Linked DNA regions of Saccharomyces cerevisiae S288C. The protein of the gene in region 1 binds, or shares a complex with, the protein of each later gene. Each region holds a gene or a part of one and is shown on either strand. Other genes may lie near its edges. The genes, in order: PRE3 and PRE4. A codon is read from its position in the direction of its gene.

What was found.
Region 2: the proteins of PRE3 (region 1) and PRE4 are in contact, whole or in part, in a crystal structure (PDB 4X6Z), measured with the Saccharomyces cerevisiae proteins. Residues at the interface, in NP_012533.1 of Saccharomyces cerevisiae: Arg38 (codon at 2,178), Thr40 (codon at 2,184), Gly42 (codon at 2,190), Ala43 (codon at 2,193), Tyr44 (codon at 2,196), Ile45 (codon at 2,199), Ala46 (codon at 2,202), Asn47 (codon at 2,205), Arg48 (codon at 2,208), Val49 (codon at 2,211), Asp51 (codon at 2,217), Leu53 (codon at 2,223), Thr54 (codon at 2,226), Arg55 (codon at 2,229), Trp61 (codon at 2,247), Arg64 (codon at 2,256), Gln72 (codon at 2,280), Ala75 (codon at 2,289), Asp76 (codon at 2,292), Phe152 (codon at 2,520), Ile182 (codon at 2,610), Lys183 (codon at 2,613), Trp184 (codon at 2,616), Asp185 (codon at 2,619), Gly186 (codon at 2,622), Ser187 (codon at 2,625), Gly190 (codon at 2,634), Val191 (codon at 2,637), Arg193 (codon at 2,643), Arg204 (codon at 2,676); in NP_116708.1 of Saccharomyces cerevisiae: Ser65 (codon at 1,438), Leu66 (codon at 1,435), Leu67 (codon at 1,432), Arg68 (codon at 1,429), Phe179 (codon at 1,096), Met183 (codon at 1,084), Tyr218 (codon at 979), Tyr219 (codon at 976), Arg220 (codon at 973), Asp221 (codon at 970), Ala222 (codon at 967), Arg223 (codon at 964), Arg226 (codon at 955), Glu248 (codon at 889), Met250 (codon at 883), Lys251 (codon at 880), Trp252 (codon at 877), Asp253 (codon at 874), Phe254 (codon at 871), Ala255 (codon at 868), Lys256 (codon at 865), Ile258 (codon at 859), Lys259 (codon at 856), Gly260 (codon at 853), Tyr261 (codon at 850), Gln264 (codon at 841), Ile266 (codon at 835).

The regions. Positions count from the first base shown.
Region 1 is NC_001142.9:433,213-436,755, forward strand, and holds PRE3 (proteasome core particle subunit beta 1), read left to right. Parts: upstream 1-1,950; coding exon 1,951-2,015; intron 2,016-2,131; coding exon 2,132-2,714; downstream 2,715-3,543. Other genes in the region: dolichyl-diphosphooligosaccharide--protein glycotransferase subunit OST1, read right to left, coding at 9-1,439. UniProt on the Saccharomyces cerevisiae protein: The proteasome degrades poly-ubiquitinated proteins in the cytoplasm and in the nucleus. It is essential for the regulated turnover of proteins and for the removal of misfolded proteins.
Region 2 is NC_001138.5:248,237-251,388, forward strand, and holds PRE4 (proteasome core particle subunit beta 7), read right to left. Parts: upstream 1,631-3,152; coding exon 830-1,630; downstream 1-829. Other genes in the region: alpha-ketoglutarate dehydrogenase subunit KGD4, read left to right, coding at 287-658; RET2 (coatomer subunit delta), read right to left, coding at 1,927-3,152. UniProt on the Saccharomyces cerevisiae protein: Non-catalytic component of the proteasome which degrades poly-ubiquitinated proteins in the cytoplasm and in the nucleus. It is essential for the regulated turnover of proteins and for the removal of misfolded proteins.

The DNA.
Region 1 (3,543 bases):
ACGTGAACTCAGTTAGTTACGTTCATGTTCAAAGTTTTTAAGACAAAAACTCCCATTAGTGCGGTGAAAATATAGCAAGCAATAGACAGAGGCTTCTTGAAAAAAGAGCTTTTCGGGTAGTCGTACTTTATCAAGACTTGGCCATTGGCAACTTGACTAATCAAATTTCTGTAACTGAAAGTTAATTTAACGTGACCTTTATTTAGGTCAAAGTATGATTTCTGGGTTTCTATAGAAACATTTGTAAAAGGGACTGGAGAATCAATATCGAATATTTCGGCCCCTTCCGGAAGAAATACCGATAATTCAACATTATCATATACAGTGTCCGGTGGGCCGTTTAGAATTGGGATAGAAGCAACGAATTTCTCGTCTGAGCCAGAGGATACATGCAAGAAATCGGACAATTTATTAGTCCAACCGACAGTAAAATTGTAGTTCCAACCTCCAAAGATTGGGAATCTTGGTCTTATAAAGAAATGGTCACGTTCTGCATGCGACGTGGAAACAAGGCCAACCAAATCAGTGAAATAATGATCAGTAGCTCCCTCAGGCAGGAGCATGTCTAAGACAGTAACAAAGTGAGTTTGTCTCATATTCTGAGTTTGAATCTGTTTCATTAATTCTAATCTTGAAAATCCTTTAGACAGTTTTGCGGCTTTGTTTGTTAATTCATAATATTCCTCAAATTGTATTGTGGAAGCCCAATGAGAAAGCCAAATATCTCTTCTCAAATTCACTACCTGATTCAATGGGGCATTGTGGGAATAAACAATTGCTAAGGTTTCGTTTGAAGAAAATCTCGGAATATCTTCCCAAGGCCCAAACTCAAAAGAGTTTCCATTAGCTTTTCCCAGTAAACTCTCGTCATTTGGGGGGTGGTACTCCTCAAATGATGAGCTACCAATCAGCGTAAAAGAGGCCTTCTTGGTATCGTAAGCAGAAAGCGGCAATCTGTTCGTTTCCCACAATAGGTGTTGTTCTTCTGACATTCCAACGTGCTCAGGATAAGGAATACCTACGGTATTATAGAAGCTCTTAATCACTAAAGAAACTTCTTCCTGAGGGGAAATTGCATTTGGAAATTGAATGATCCCGTATCTAATTTCACTTTCACCATCGTCACCAGGTGCTGTAGTCGAATTGGCAAGTAATTGGCTATTTAAAAAAGTTGCCTCGTTGGTAAAATAGGCTGAAAAAAAGGAAACTTTACTGAAGATGCCACTCTCAAAGGCTGTGAAGTATTCAGTCGCAGGTTCGCTTGCTATGTTTTTGATAGTTATTTCGATTGTTTCTGAAATATAAGCGTTTGACACGTCTATTGTCCTCTTATAATCAACATTCTCCCAAGTCGCAGGTGGCTCGTATTGGGCAGCAGAAGACACGTTGAAAAAACATAGGAACAATCCCACAATCCAAGAGAACCAAACCTGCCTCATTTTTTCAGCACCAATATTTTGTAGTTTGCGTCTTGTTCCGAGCTAAAGAAGCAATCGGGTACTTGTCAAAGAAGTAGCTTGCTTAATAAAAAGCAAACATTAATTTGTTCTGCATACTTTGAACCTTTCAGAAAATAAAAAACATTACGCGCATACTTACCCTGCTCGCGAAGAAGAGTAACACTAACGCATTCTATGGGCAATTGAAGACAGTATTCAGTACAAGACATAGTCCGTTTCCTTGAGTCAATTCCTATAGCATTATGAACTAGCCGCCTTTAAGAGTGCCAAGCTCTTCAACACCGATCATTTTTGATGATTTGGCGTTTTTGTTATATTGATAGATTTCTTTTGAATTTTGTCATTTTCACTTTTCCACTCGCAACGGAATCCGGTGGCAAAAAAGGGAAAAGCATTGAAATGCAATCTTTAACAGTATTTTAAACAAGTTGCGAGACGGTGTACAATTACGATAAGAATTGCTACTTCAAAGTACACACAGAAAGTTAACATGAATGGAATTCAAGTGGACATCAATCGTTTGAAAAAGGGCGAAGTCAGTTTAGGTACCTCAATGTATGTATATAAGAATTTTTCCTCCCACTTTATTGTTTCTAAAAGTTCAATGAAGTAAAGTCTCAATTGGCCTTATTACTAACTAATAGGTATCTTATAATCACCTAATAAAATAGTATGGCCGTGACATTTAAGGATGGTGTGATACTAGGTGCTGATTCACGTACCACCACTGGTGCGTACATAGCTAACCGTGTGACAGATAAATTAACGAGAGTACATGACAAAATTTGGTGTTGTAGGTCCGGTTCTGCAGCAGACACGCAGGCGATTGCCGACATTGTTCAGTACCATTTGGAATTATATACTTCTCAATATGGTACCCCCTCCACAGAGACTGCTGCCTCGGTGTTCAAAGAATTATGTTACGAAAATAAAGATAACCTTACTGCTGGTATAATTGTGGCTGGTTATGATGACAAAAACAAAGGGGAAGTATATACTATTCCATTGGGTGGCTCCGTCCATAAGCTGCCTTATGCGATAGCAGGATCTGGCTCTACTTTCATATATGGGTATTGTGATAAAAACTTTAGAGAAAATATGTCAAAGGAAGAAACCGTAGATTTCATAAAGCATTCGCTATCGCAAGCCATTAAATGGGACGGATCTTCCGGTGGTGTTATAAGAATGGTTGTTTTGACAGCTGCTGGTGTGGAACGTTTGATATTCTACCCTGATGAATATGAACAACTATAATAGACCCCAAAAGAACAAATTCTGAGTGATTACTTCTCTTTATATTTGTTAACAAATGCCTCTGGATCTACACTGATATAACATATAATAGTCTATAACCTCTTTCTCTTTTTCTCTTCGCTTTACGCTTTTTTCTCTAACTGTTAGAACGACAAAGTATCTCAGAAGGGAATTTCGTAAGCAAGATATTTTACGACTAATCATTTTTTTGTTGTATAAAAACGTATGTGAGATTGATTCACTAATTCTTCGGAGTCCTGGAAGGCTTACCTTATCTATGCATTCGTACAGTTGTGTGCAATGTTAAAAATGGTGACTGTATCTACGTATCTATAAAAAAAGGTTAACTACCGGAAAATCATTTCTTCTCGTAAAGTGTATATTTAGGTTCGGAAATCATAAACATTGTTTTTTTGTGTTTTTTATTTTTAAATAAAAAGAATAAATATTTTATATTAAAAAATAAATTTTAAAGTAAATTAATTATTTAACACGTGATTAAGTTACTCTAATATAATCCTATTTAATAATTAGTAGAGTTGTTGAGAACGAGTATAATATTATTTTTTTTTTATTTTTTTGTAGGTTCTTTGGCCATCCTAAATAGAATAAGCATCCACAACAACTAAACTGGTATTTTGTTATACACAACGCGTCTTGGTTAGGCATCTGTTTTGTTTTAGCTATTGTTCATCGCGTTTTTTTTTTTCTTATCTCTTTTACCGAGGGGCGAAAATAGCGATAGATCGAGAATATAAATAAATAAAATATTGTTGTGTTGTGTAGTTCTAAAGAAAAATTTTACAGTGAAAAGGTAACACCGGGGAGT
Region 2 (3,152 bases), on another chromosome or scaffold:
ACGTGCAAGTAAAACCACTCGTTGATTGGCTCCCCTCAAGATTGCATTAAAAGTACAATAATATGACTAAGGGACTCGAATATGTAAATTCATCTTTCGCATCAACAAAGGAGAAAAAGACGATAGTGAAGACTAATATTTTAGCCAGATTGCAGTGTTTCAGTGATCTTAAAAGTCTTTTTCATTTCTAGCCGCATTGAATTCTTTAAAGCAAACCATTAAGGAGTACTTCCCCAGGTTTTTAACCGATAATAAGAGTAAGATAAAAGTACAAGAAGACAGGGAAATGATTGCTACACCTATAAGATTAGCAAAGAGTGCATATGAGCCGATGATAAAATTCGTCGGTACAAGGCATCCCTTAGTGAAGCATGCAACTGAGGTCGTTGTTCATCCTTGCGCTACCAACGGAATGTTACCTGGCAGCAAAGAGTGTATTCCAGTGAGTAAATTCATGGAAAATTATAAACCATTCCGTGTAGTGCCAATAAAGCATAGCGCTAATGCTGGTCTCAGCTCGTCAAAGACCTCTGTATTCGTTAACAGGCCATTGCAAAAAGATGAGCTTGCTTCCATTTTCGAGCTACCTGCTAGGTTTCGGTACAAACCTATTAACGAGCATGAATTGGAGAGCATAAATAGCGGTGGTGCATGGTGAAGGATAGATGCAGTAATATTATGATTTTTTTTTGTTATTTTATAGTTTCTTTACACATATCATTATATCTATGTAAAAACGTAGTTACTTAGGAAGAGAGAAGAGTGATGATATTATGAATTGAAAAATAAAAATAAAATGAGTATTTAATGAAGGTGGGATAAAACTCTTCTAAATTTTTTGAGTACCGTAGCCTTTAATATCCTTGGCGAAGTCCCATTTCATGTTTTCAACTTGCAAGTTTTTCTTGAAAGTTAAACCTGTGTTCTTATCAATTATGGCCAGTGAGAAGTTTCTAGAAGAACGGGCATCTCTATAATAAAGAACTCTCATTGCATTTACGATCGCCTCTTCAGCAACCTGTACAGTGGTCTTTGGAATATCAGATTCTCGATCTACAACTTTCCTTAACAGTGGGTTTGCCATGTGTGCCCCAAAACCTGTGGCCAAGGTGGGAGACGAATACGTAACACCTAGAAGATTTACGTATCTTAGGAATTGATCACCATTAGACTGTACACCAGCAACAATGATGGCATTCCAAAGTGGATTCATCTTTGATCTTCGCTGGTACATGACGGTAGCTAGATATTCAAAAATATAGCTGGGTTCGAGCGCTTCTTCAGCATCCGCTAGAGGATTGTCATACGCATTTTCAGTGACTAGATCTTTCAATAATCTCTCAATGTGTTGCATATCAGAAATATCACCTGAAATGCCCACAACGGTGTTATCACCCACGGGAATAAGCCTCTCCACGCCATTGAATCTTAGAAGAGAGCCATATGAACCTAAATTATCTGCTGCAATGATAACCCCATTATCATATTTCATTGATATGACGGAAGTACCTGTTACTATTGGTTGCTGTGTATTAACCATGGGAGAGGCGCCTGCGTTCGCAATTTGTGTATTGTAAGCACCATAAGTAGAGTCTGCGGGCCTGCCCCAACTGAAAGGATCGTGATTCATTCGTGTGGGTTTTTATGTTGTTTTCGGCGGAAGATGAAGGATTCCTGCTGCTTATCCCCTTTCTTAACTTAGCTGTACTTTACTATGTGGGTACGTATTTAAGGTGGCAAATTCTAAACCAAGAAGCTGGAACATCTTTAATAAAAAGGATTGACGGGTAACCCTAAAAGGAAAAATAATAAAGAATAAGAGTAAGTTAAACTATATATATAGAAGGACGAAAGAAAAGATACCTCGATTTTTATTTATTTAGTTTGTGTATATAACTTAAGTATTTTATATGTGAATGTAACGTACTATTGGACAAGATATTCATCTGATTTCAAAGAGGTGATGACGTCGTAAGGGAGCTCTTGATCGTGGTCATTGGCCATGACAACAGATTGTATGGCCATACCGGTGAAACTCTTAGCTAATTTATCCCTCGTGGACTCTTGGAAGGAAACGGTCATTGGGTACAATGCATCTTCATATGGAGCTTCGATAGTGAATGCTAGCGCACCTGCATCGTTGGCAGCAATTTTGCTAATCTTAATGGAGGTTCCCATTTCTTGGTCCATGTTGACAACTTCAGCGTCAGAGCATGTAGAAGACTCTGTATTTATGTCTACTGGCTCCTGAGGGAAAACTGGAATGGTGAAGATCACATCAGCGAGTTCTGTTTCCAGGACGCTCTCATACTCAATAATGACATCAAAGCCCTGTTGTGATTCGGAGGGGGAAACCCATGTAGTTAGAGTTAATGGAATTAATGAGTCATCTTCTGCGGGAGCGACTTTACGCCATCTTAGAACACCCAGGCTTTGGTCGTTGGCTGGGAAAGCCTTAGATTTATCACGCAGGGAGATAAGTTTAGTGGATAGGAACGATTGTTTATCTATGTTTGGATGGGTCTTAAACTGGAAGGATTTATCGCGAACGTCAATAGAATCAGCTAGTTTTAGGTTCGAGTGAGATAAGTCATGGTCATTAATTCTTAGTTCTAAAACACCTTTCAATTCAGAAGAGTGAATGGTACCATCTCTGGAGAATTCTGCATTGATTACCTCCTTGATAGAGATCAAAATACCATTGTTCTCTGGGACATCCTCCTCCGGAGGAGGTGGAGTGCCAGAAGAGGCTGAAGAAATTGCACTTGGCCGTGGTGCGGCACCCGCTCTTCTTCCGGCACCACCACCCAATTTCATACCGCCAGTAGCAGAATGTCCCGCACGCTGAGACGTAGCCATTGGGGAGGCCACTGGGGCCACCTCAGCAGCAGCGGCATGGGAACTTTGTAGATAAGACTGTTGTGCTGCAGGAGAAGCATGGGAGTAGTAACTGTTGATGGCGTTTGTAACGTTAGGATCTTTACTTCCCATGAACCTATTGGCGCCGTCGTAATCGCCATTTGAAGACATAAACCCGTGTTTCCTTTCATGTTCTTTTCTAGCAATTTCCTTAGCACGGCGCTTCCTCTCCTCAGTAGCTTCGATCTCTTTATTACGCTCAATAATTTCCTGGATTCTTTCTTCGTGCGACT